Linked DNA regions of Xenopus tropicalis. Each later gene encodes a partner of the first gene's protein in a complex. Links are inferred from orthologs where the notes say so. Each region holds a gene or a part of one and is shown in the gene's direction. Other genes may lie near its edges.

The links.
Region 2: smarca2 (region 1) and smarcb1 share a complex: the UniProt entries of both Homo sapiens proteins name them as parts of the BAF complex. The link is inferred for Xenopus tropicalis from reciprocal best matches to the Homo sapiens genes SMARCA2 and SMARCB1.

Annotation. Positions count from the first base shown.
Region 1 is NC_030677.2:128,239,156-128,244,754, reverse strand, and holds part of smarca2 (probable global transcription activator SNF2L2), read left to right. Parts: intron 1-323; coding exon 324-390; intron 391-1,972; coding exon 1,973-2,083; intron 2,084-3,208; coding exon 3,209-3,451; intron 3,452-5,493; coding exon 5,494-5,599. UniProt on the Homo sapiens protein: ATPase involved in transcriptional activation and repression of select genes by chromatin remodeling (alteration of DNA-nucleosome topology).
Region 2 is NC_030677.2:153,167,354-153,173,563, reverse strand, and holds the start of smarcb1 (SWI/SNF-related matrix-associated actin-dependent regulator of chromatin subfamily B member 1), read left to right. Parts: upstream 1-2,486; 5' UTR 2,487-2,488; coding exon 2,489-2,578; intron 2,579-3,183; coding exon 3,184-3,304; intron 3,305-4,418; coding exon 4,419-4,548; intron 4,549-6,210.

The DNA of each region.
Region 1 (5,599 bases):
TTTCTTACTACATAGAATAAAGAAATGATAAAAGAGAGACACTATAGAAATCACAATTTCTGTATTTCTGAGTTTTTAGGATAATGGGTTTCTAGATAATAGATCCCATACCTGATCCCATAAGCAGTTAACTGTGTAGTGCTGAATAATTAGCAGATGTCTAGAAGATTAGAAAATATCAAGAAGATGTTTTCAGATCAAGCTGGCACTTGTCTACAAAACAAAAATACAGTATATACAAAATTATTTTAAAAAATGTCCATGTTATATTTTAATGACTTGATATACTGTTTATTTATTTAAATCAATATTCTTTCCTCTAGGACTTTGTCCAACTGGCTATATGAATTTGATAAATGGGCCCCATCAGTTGTGAAAATCGCATACAAGGTTTGCAGTTTCACTCTATTATTAATGATCGTGAAATTATTCCTTTACTAAAGATATATGTGTGTGTGTGTGTGTGTATATTTTATTATGTTCACCCCATCTTTGCATAGAATTATGTTAAACTGCTTAAATTGCCACATGCGTCCTAGTGCAAGGTAATCATCCTAAAGACATCACTGCAATATGGGATAATTACTTTCAGATGGAAAAATGCTGCACAAAATGGTTAATTATCATATCCAATATCTAGAACGAGAGCAATAATAGTTCTTACTGCATGTGATTTTGTGGGCATGGCTGACTGATTGAAAGAGCGCACCTGTTTCTAACAACCAGACACATAACAGAGTTGCTTGTTCTAATTGAGCTATTTATCTTTCAAATGAGTGTCTTGCAATGTAAAGAAGCACTTAGCCTAGTTATTTGCATCAAGGAGTTGACCTTGAATTTAACTTGAATTTAATATGAGTTACATTTTGGAGGCATAAATCCCTGACTCCTGAACTTCCCATTCTGCTGAATTATTTTCAGTGTTTTTTGTATTGAAAATAGTATTTGTCCGTTTATGCACTACTACTTCTGACAATACAGAAAAAGCAGTTAGCGAATAATTTGAATAATTGAATCTTGTTTCATGAGTCACAACCAACAGTGCAGAGAATAGAAAGGGATAGAAAAATGTTGCTTTCAACTACAGCTACATTTGCAAATAACTCTGACCATTGACATTTTTAAATAATAAAGTCATTTATACTGGAAAATTATATTTTTTAAAGTGAAACTCAACACAAAAAAACACCAAAAAAATGGGTCAAGTTTTAATTACAAAAAAGACTGTTGTGTTTTATACGGAACTATTTAAGTTCTAACAAACTTCAGGCTTGATTTATCTCTCTCTGCTGATTCATAGGACAACCTTGCAAATCCCAATTTGTATAAGCCTAAAAAACACCAAACCTAATCTAAATTCTGCGTTTTCTGAAAGCAGAGCACCAGAGGATTACACGATTCAAGTAGAATGCTAAGTGTATGTAGTGTAGGAAACCCAGGAAAATATTAGGGGTCATTTAACTTGATCCCTGACTCAAGTGTTAGCGCATCCAGCCTTGACTGGCCCTGTACCTACCAGATTGGAAATTAGTGCAGAGCACAGCCCTGTTCTTAGGCCTATGCCACACTTGCTGATTCTCAGCAAGCAGATAAATTCCTCATGCGGCATAGGCCTTACTGCTTACCATAGGGGAGACGGTATAGTTCTCTGTTGTGGCACTGCCTAAGTTGAGCATCAGATTGATAAGTGAGTCGGGGCAGGAGTGGGGCATACGTGCCTCTTACCCTTCATGGATGCATTGTATTCACGAGGTACACTCATATCTTTAGGTGTTTAAATTAGTGTTGTAGCTTGTCCTGCATTTTGTAAACGTCCGCTTTTCTCATTTAACATGGAAAATTGAAAAGTTACTCTTGTAGCGAGTAGCATGCAAATACCTTGTAAGATGAAAATGGACTGGTATTCTTAAGAATAATTTCTTATCACAGTCATTCAGTGTCTTTAAACTTGGCACATTTCCTTCTGTTTCAGGGAACACCAGCAATGAGACGTTCTTTAGTTCCTCAGCTAAGAACTGGGAAGTTTAATGTTCTGCTAACCACTTACGAATATATTATAAAAGACAAGCACATACTGGCAAAGGTAAGTGGCCTTTTTGTGGCATTCTTTTTTTCTCATTTATTTTCTCAAGTTTTTGCTGTTCATTCTGATATTTAAAAGAGACTCCACCAAAAACACAAGTGCCCAAGCATAAACTTCAGTGCCTTTAACAGGCCAGTATTTAAAAACAATCCTGGCTCGAGTACATATCAGGTGATTAGAGACTATGCGCGAGCCAGACAGCAACCTAAAATTGCTGCAATAAAGGCTTCTAGTCTGCCTTTAAAGTCCCATTGACTTTTGAAACATTACTTTAAGTTGATTTAGCAAACATCACATACATGGTTGCCACAGAAGATTGACATCAATGTCAGTTCCAAGTAACTAACAAAGATTTTCAGCCAAAGCATGTTTTATAAACTACTTGAGGACAGCTGGATTATAAGGTGAATTACAAAAATGTTGAATGGAGCTTTGCTTGTGTAATACATTGTGTGTGGCCATACATTGATAGATCTGCTTGTTTGGCAAGGTTGGCAAATAAGCAGCTCTTACCTTGATATGCCAACCTCAAGGACTAAATGATCGTATCACATTGACAGGATACAGGCCATTGGGACGAGGACCGCATTAGTGAGTCGACAGTAATTGGTCAGATATCAGTCCTTCAATATAGGCTCCTCTGAGGGTCCCATACATAGATTGTCTGCCCATGTATGGCCACCTTATTGTAGTCTGTGTTCGCCATGCAATAGAATGGTTCTGCAACCAGCTGATGGGTTTGGTGTTTTAGTCTCTTGAATGAATGCCTTTTTACAGCCTGCAAACTATGATTCTTATTGCTTTATGTCCTTTCCTCTTAATTTAGCTTGCATTAATGTTATGCTTACAGCATATTAAAAAAACATATAAGACACAAATATAACTTGGTATAAAAAGACAAACACCCATCCTCTTCAATTTGCATTCTGCTATGAACATACAAAAAAAGCTGTGTTACTGGCTTAGAATTAACAACATATGAGTACAGCAGCAAGTGGGAGGTTGAAATATAGAGTAGTACGGTATGTGTATGTATCATTATACAATATCTGTGATATTTCTAATAGTCACTGATTCTTGTCTGTTGCACTTATGTGTACACTGTTTTCATTTACCCATCAACAGATCCGATGGAAATATATGATTGTTGATGAAGGGCATCGAATGAAGAACCATCACTGCAAACTAACACAGGTGTTGAACACTCACTATGTTGCCCCAAGACGTATTCTACTGACTGGCACTCCTCTGCAGAACAAGCTGCCAGAGCTCTGGGCTCTTCTGAACTTTCTACTGCCTACTATCTTTAAGAGTTGCAGCACCTTTGAGCAGTGGTTTAATGCTCCATTTGCAATGACAGGAGAAAGGGTAATGTCTTACTTCCATCAGTAAAAAACTTTTACAGTTAATATTATGCTCTGTCTGGTGAATGAAAGCTTTAGTGTCACTTGTAGCAATAGGATGCAACTACAGTTAAAGTGCATTAAATCATCTGTAAGTTAGACAGCAAATCTTTAAGGCAATTAGTTTGTTTACTAAGATGATGTTGCCCATAGCAACCAATCAGCAATAACATTTAAACAGTCACCTACAAGTTAAGAATCAAAAGCAAAGACCTACTGTATATACTCGAGTATAAGCCTAGTTTTTCAGCACCCAAAATGTGCTGAAAAAGTCACCCTCGGCTTATACTCGAGTCAGGTGCCATGGGTCCCTCTAGACTAGCACCCTCTGTCCTTTGTGTGCAAATTAGGCCACCTGCAACCAGACCCTCCAGTGCCCTGGCCTAGGCTCCCACTAGCAATACTTATTTCCCCTTACATCTCCTCCGGGACCAGGTCTGCTGCCAGTTTGCCAATGTGCAATGAGCATGGGGTAGTACTCATATTGTTTTTGTTGACCCTCTTCTCTGCTTACAGAGCTAGTTTACTGTTTTTCTTTGAAATAAATATTGAAGAACATATACCCAACTGATGCCTCAATTAATGTCATTTTATTGGTATTTATTTTGATTATTAAAACTTAGCAGTAGCTGCTGCATTTCCCGCCCTAGGCTTATACTTGAGTCAATAAGTTTTTCCAGTTTTCTTAGGTAAAATTAGGTACCTCGGCTTATATTCGGATCGGCTTATACTCGAGTATATACGGTAATTGGTTGCTACAGGCAACATCACCAATGATATTTATTTCCAGTCTTAGTAAACACGCCCCGATGTCTTCATTTTTGTTTCATTTTTTTTTATTATGCATCCCTTGGGCTTGGAATTTTAGTCAGAATGGAATATGAATAGAATTGAACAATATTTGCAATATAGGCACCCAAGACAATTTTAGGGTGTTAATTTAACAATGCATGTCTGTGTGGTCCCAGGGTTTTATATGAAAGTATAATTTTTTTGTATAGATTTTTGTGGGACCTTCATCTTTTTAGAAGTTGTTCTTAAACAGGAACCAGACTTGTCGATGTCCACAGTTATTTCTAAAGTCTTAACTTAGTTGCTTTGATTTTTCCTTCGGTATTATTGGAACAGTTTAGTTAGCCAAAAATGTACTCTATAAAGGCTGGAGTGAACATATGTCTAATGTAATAGCTAGGACTTTACTTCCTCCTTTACAGCTCTCTAAGCTGTTAGCATTCAGTAACCAATCGGTGACTTGAGGGGGGCCATATCGGACATAACTGTTTAGTTAGTTTGCTTTTGAATCTGACCTGCGTGCTCACAAACTAACTGAATAGTTATGTCCCATGTGTCGTCCCCCCCCCAAAGTTGATTACTAACTGACTGAGGTTATAGAGCTGTAAAGGAGGAAGTAGTGTTCTGGCTAATATTGTAGACATCTGCGAAATAAAGTCTTTAAGTTATTCCTTTGAAATGAGCTCAGAAATAAAGTAGATAACTTATTTGAATGTATGAATGTTATAATAGACATAAAATATTGATATTGCATTTGAGTTGTTTACTTAGTGCAATTACATGTCATAGAGGGGTATATATGTCCAACAAAAAAATCATTACTCTAAGACGGCAATCTTCATGTAAATATTATATGACAATATATGTACTTGGCCACCATTTTTGTAGCTTAAGCATACATGTAAGAAGGACTCAGATGTTGGTTTCTAAAGGGGAACTTGAACACACATGGGGTTATGTAATAAAAGGCACTAAGTTAGCCCAGGAGCAGTAACCCATAGCAACCAATCAGCAGGTGGCATTTATTGGTCACCTGTTTAAAAATAAATATCTTATTGGTTGCTGTGGTTTACTGCTACTTGGCAAACTTAATGCCTTTTGTTAAATATGGGGGGAAAGTCTGTTGGGGGAAGAAATTATTTATCCTATTGATTTAAATCTTAAATATTGTGTATTTAAGCACAAGTGCAGTTAAGTTTATGTGCATTTCTGTAGGTGGATTTAAATGAAGAGGAAACCATACTGATTATCCGACGTTTACACAAAGTTTTGCGCCCTTTCTTGCTACGAAGATTGAAGAAAGAGGTGGAATCTCAGTTAC
Region 2 (6,210 bases), about 25 Mb from region 1:
TAAGCTCAGGAATTTGATCAGTTCCAGGTCACCTGCTACTTTGTTATTGTTGTGCTGTTCACTCACCAGTCACCAGTCGGTATATTTCACATGCTAGGAAATAAAAGATCCTTTTACACAAGTTCAGGAACTCATAATTAAGGTTTTTGACAGATTTGATAAAAGTAAAGGAAAAGCTTCATGGGTTATTTTACCCTGGCTGAAACATGCCGGCTGAGAATACTTCCTGCCATAGTGCTAATGGCAATGGTGCAGAAGGATATTTTTCCTAGCCCAAGCCTGCAAAAGAAATACCTAAGAGCAGAGCAAAGGTAATATTCCCAGGTTAGCCAATAAAAAGTATCACCTTCTTTATAATATTTCAGTGTTATCTTGAATTAAAGAATCTGCGGTAATACCTGTATGTTTAAATCAATCACTGTTTCATAGTTTATTAAAATGCAGCAGGAATGTTGGCCTTTCCACAAGCCATTCCTATTGTTGCCGGTGGAAAGGCATTTCAGAGCAGTTAAGTCATCCCCGGTAGCAGAGATTTATCCCGGGCGACTACATCACTCCATAGAACATTAGCCTTATATTTACAGAAAACAGCAGACCTAAAGGACCCTAGGCAAGCACCAAGTCATGACCATTGGGTGGTAATAGTATGAGTGAGATGACAAAAATGTGGAATGATTAGCAGACCACCTAAGTGCACAGCTTTTGTTGTATTATCTCTTTAGTTTTAGCGATATGGTTCATTTAAAAACTGTAATGCAGATTGGCATTCTCTGTATTTCCTATGATATTTAGCACTCTCACCGGCAAGTAAAATCTGAGGAATGGCTAAAGGACCTTGGTTTTGTATACTGTAAAGAATTAATCCTGCAAATAGAAAACACAAATGTCCTATCCTACTTTCAAGACTGTATAATCAATTTGCAAGTAGAACAAAGAGTTTTAAAGCCAAGGAATTTGGGTCAGGAGAAATAAAACCTATATTAGTTTGTGCATGTGTGCATGAAAAATTATGGCATTCACTTATTGCTGTGCTAGTGGCCGGCCTTTTCTCAGCCAGCAGAGAAGTGCCAAAATCCTTGAAAGGATCCTGGGCTATTTCATCCAAATTAATGTTTCCATTAATATTAATTACATGCTTCTCATCTGGTTTAGGTGTTTCACAGCCAGCTGAAAATACTATGTAAAATGAAATATCCAGGATTGGATCATTATCTTATCTTATAACCTGAGGTCAGTTGGCATCTCTGCAGAACAATGTTCCCTATAAGCAGTGCGCTCACACACAACAATTTTGTATTTATTTTTACCTGAGCAGTTTTTAAAAACGTGCACACAAGTTTAAAATGTATGCACACAAGTTTTTTGCACACAAAGCCAAAAAGTAATGAGGGAACGTTGCAGCAGGTCTATTTCATAGCCCTTAATTGCTTGTTAGGGCAGGGTTGGACTGGGGCGGCCGGGGGCCCAATGGGACTGCCACCTGGGGACCCTCCATCCCAGTTGCGACATCAAACCCCGTCCCCCTACTGCATTTTCTCCTTACAACTGTGATAAAAGGACTGTGGGCCAGCACCTAGTTATAGGAGGGAGCAAAACTGGGTCAGGACAGCCTACAAGGGCCAGGGCCCTGCCGATCCAGTCCATACTCGGTTTGAGGGCTGCCAATGGCCTATTGTTGAGTGGTGTAACTACTACCCCATGGGCATGGTTGCAAACTTTGCACCAAGGTCCCTCTCAAGACATGAGCTGCCGTGCATACTAAACATATCATTAAAGGAACAGTAACATCAAAATATGAAAGTGTATTAAAGTAATTACAATATAATGCACTGTTACCCTGCACTGGTATAACTGGTGTGTTTGCCTCAGAAAGACTATTATAGTTTATATAAGCAAAGCTGCTGTGTAGCCATTCGAATGAAAAAAGGCACAGGTTACTTAGCAGATAACAGATCAAATGCCATTGTATTCTACACAGTTTGTTATCTGCTATGTAACCTGTGCCTTTTCTCCTTTTTTCCAGCTTGAATGGCTGCCCCCGGGGCTACACAGCAGCTTATTTATATAAACTATAGGAGCGTTCTGTAGCAAATACACCAGTTTTACCAGTGCAGGGCAACAGTACATTACATTTTAATTACTTTAAAACACTTTCATATTTTGGTGTTACTGTTCCTTTAAACGTTAATGTCCACTGTGGGTTTCGGGTTCCAAAATATTAAAAGGCCGGTATTTTTTTTTCTAGAAAAAGTGGCAACCCTTGGCTGATCTTTAGTATTTCCGCACTAATAAAAATACTAAGTAAAACTATTTTACGAAGCCGCTACTTTAGTCAGCGTACAACCAAACTACGCCCGCAGGCAGCTATAAGTTGTGCGCTGAAACGCCGCGCATGCGCTTTATGCAGTTCCCTTGACGCCTGCGCTTCGTGTACTACGTAGTTGGCACATGCGCTGTTCGGTGGGCCCGGTGTTGGAACGGAGGCAGGATGATCATGGCGTTAAGTAAAACGTTTGGCCAAAAGCCAGTGAAATTTCAATTGGAAGAGGATGGAGAATACTACATGATAGGATCCGAGGTACGAGTCCAGGGCAAACGTTAAACATCTCCGCTGAAGCTGCGTAATACAAACGTGGGGGAGAAAGGGGTTTGGGACAAAGGATTCCTTCTTTGTTACAGGCACTGTTGTGGGCGAGACCAAGGTTTCTGTAAATCTTCATGCGTGTAAAAGAAAAAAACCAAAACAATAACAAAAGGGGGGCGGGTTATTAGTTAGATAAAAAAGAGTGGTATATCCAACCGGCGGGCCCTTGTTTCACTACAGCTCTCATCACTCCCAGAATGAAGGAAGTGCTAGTAGTTTTAAAGCAGCTAGACCTACAAGTTGAACGCACTGGTGAAGGGAGAGGTGGCCAATGGGGGATGAATTTGAAAGTGCAGCTGACTGGTTAGAAGTGCAGCAACAGAAAGCATGAGGTAAACAAAACATCTGTAATAGAAATAGGCTGCAACTCCTACCTTTCCCCTAAATCCTCCTTTCTGGAGGCCTGCTGTGTTGTGTAGCGCCTCATTGTATGCTGTCACTTCAAGGTGTACACATTATATTTGGGTCTGTGACCAAATTTTGCAGCCTGAAAACGTATTATTGTTTTGACTCTTAAATACTTTGTCTTTTATTTACAGGTGGGAAATTACTTGCGCATGTTCAGGGGATCATTATATAAACGGTACCCTTCCCTTTGGAGACGGTTGGCAACAGTAGAAGAGAGGAAGAAAATAGTAGCGTCTTCTCATGGAAAGAAATGTAAATATTAGTAGTTTTTTTTACCTGGTTTGTCTGGTGAAAGAACAGCTTGGATTAAGTTGAATGCACCAGTTGTCTATGGCAGCCCTGGGATTTCCGAATTTTTACCTGTACTATCTGGATTTGCAAGTCTACTATCTCCAATGGTGCTTTGTTCTAGAACCTTATAACCCAAATACTTGCTTCCGTGGGATATTTCTGGCCTCTGTGGAACACATTACATTACATTAACATTTATTTATAAAGTGCCAACATATTCCTCAGCGCTGTACAATAAGTGGGTTACATACATTGGACATAAAGAGTAACATATAAAGCAATCAGTAACCGATACAAGAGGTGAAGAGGGCCCTGCCCAAAAGAGCTTACAATCTACAAGCACCTGCATAGCTTTCACTACCGACTCCAAGGATGCCCCGCAACTGCAAATACCCTCTCTACCTTAAATTACTGGGCCATCCCCCACCACTATTATTCCCCGGCTACCATTGTGGGGAAACATATATTTGATATCTCCAGGATTTTTTCCTGGAATCATCACAGGCTCAAATACCTAGGTGGCCACATTATAAATACCATCTATTCAACATATATTTTACAACAAAAATATCAACTACCTCATTTGCCCTTCTACAGATTCTTTTAGTTGCGACGTGCTTTCAATTTACAACTTTTAACCTATACCTCAGACCTTGTACATCTAGTATTGAGAACATAACTCGGATAGGTCCAGGCTGGTTTCATCTGGTGGGATGTGCCAGCTGGACACATCCTGTTCTGTTGCACAATGGTCTGTTGAAACCCACCCCAACCTGTCATGCATGCTCAGACAGTTGGGCTGAAGGGTCCAGATCTGCCAACCAAAGCTGGCCATGCTAGGACAGCTTTACAGAATTCAAAATTCACAAAAATGTAAACCATTTCAGATTGTCTAAGAATACCTAATCTAAGCTATTTTCAACCAGCTTTTGGCAATTAACATTGTTTCTACTATAATTTTAAGATGACCTCCCTTAGTTTGCCACATTCATAATTTCTTGTTTTAATGTAACCGAACTACTTTAAGTATAAAGTTTTTAAACCTTTTACATATTGCTGTTTTCTTCCTCCTTAGATCATGGATATACCACTTTAGCTACCAGTGTTACTCTCTTAAAAGCTTCAGAAGTTGAAGAGATCCTTGATGGGAATGATGAGAAATATAAAGCAGTCTCTATTAGCACAGAACCACCAACCTACCTCAGGTGAGTGAGGCACACATTTGAGGTTTTTAGTCATATGAAACATTTGGGAACCCCTCTCAGCCTGCATAATAGTTTACTCCACTTTTAACAAAAAAGATAACAGTGGTATGTCTTTCATTTCCTAGGAACATCTGAGTACTGGGGTGTAATCTGAACAAAGATTTTTAGTGAAGCAGTATTTAGTTGTATGAAATTAAATCATGCACTGGCTGTGCAAAAATTTGGGTACCCTTGTAATTTTGCTAATTTGAATGCATGTAACTGCTCAATACTTATTACTGGCAACACCAAATCGGTTAGCTCGTTAAGCCTTGAACTTCATAGGCAGGTGTGTCCAATCATGAGAAAAGGTATTTAAGGTGGCCAATTGCAAGTTGTGCTTCTGTTAGAGTCTCCTCTGAAGAGTGACAGTGTGGTTTAGGGAAAGGCTACAGAAAGCCATCTCAGAGGTTTAAACTGTCAGTTTCAACTGAAAGGAATGTAATCAGGAAATGGAAGGCCACAGGCACAGTTGCTGTAAAACCCAGATCTGGCAGGCCAAGAAGAATACAGGAGTGGCATATGCAGAGGCTTGGGAGAATGGTAACAGACAACCCAAAGATCACCTCCAAAGACCTGCAAGAACATCTTGCTGTAGATGGTGAATCTGTACATCGTTATACAATTCATACATCTGTATGGCAGGGTGATGAGAAAGAAGCCCTTTCTGCACTCATGCCAAAAACAGTCACTTGTTGTATGCAAAAGCTCATTTAGACAAGTCACAGTCATTTTGGAACAAAATGCTTTGGACTGATGAGACAAAAATTATTTGGTCATAACAAAAAGAACACTGTCAAATTTGGTGGAGGTTCCATCATGCTGTGGGGCTGTGTGGCTAGTTCAGCGACTGGGGCCCTTGTTACAGTCAAGGGTCAGATGAATTCATCCCAATAACAACAAATTCTTCAGGATAATGTTCAAACATCATTCACAAAGTTGATATTCCAACAAGACAATGACCCTAAACACAGTTGGAAATCTACAAAGGCATTTATTCCATATTATGGAATGGCCGTCACAGTCCCCCGACTTGAATATCATTGAAAATCTATGGGATGATTTGAAGCAGGCTGTCCATGCTCGGCAGCCATTAAATTTAAAGGAACAGTAACACAAAAAAATTAAAGTGTGTAAAAATAATTCATATATTATATACTATTGCTCTGCACTGGTAAAAGTTGTGTATTTTCTTCATAAATACTACTGCAGTTATTTAAATACCCTGCTGTGTAGCTATGGGGGCAGCCATTTAAATTGAAAAAAGGAGAAAAGGCACAGGTTACATAGCAGATAACATATAAGTAGCATAGATTCCCATTGTATTCTACACAGTTTATCTGGTATCTTCTTATGTAACCTGAGCCTTTTCTTTCAATTTAAATGGCTGCCCCCATGGCTACACAGCAGCTATTTCTATTAACTATAGTGGTCTTTCTGAAGCAAACACGCAACTTTTACAAGTGCAGGGCAACAGTACATTATATTTTAATTATTTTAAAACATTTTTATTTTTTAGTGTTACTGTTCCTTTAACTGAGGAGAGATTTTGTATGGACAAAGGTAAAAAAAATACCACTATCCAGAATCCAGACACTCATCAAAGGCTATATGAGGCGTCTA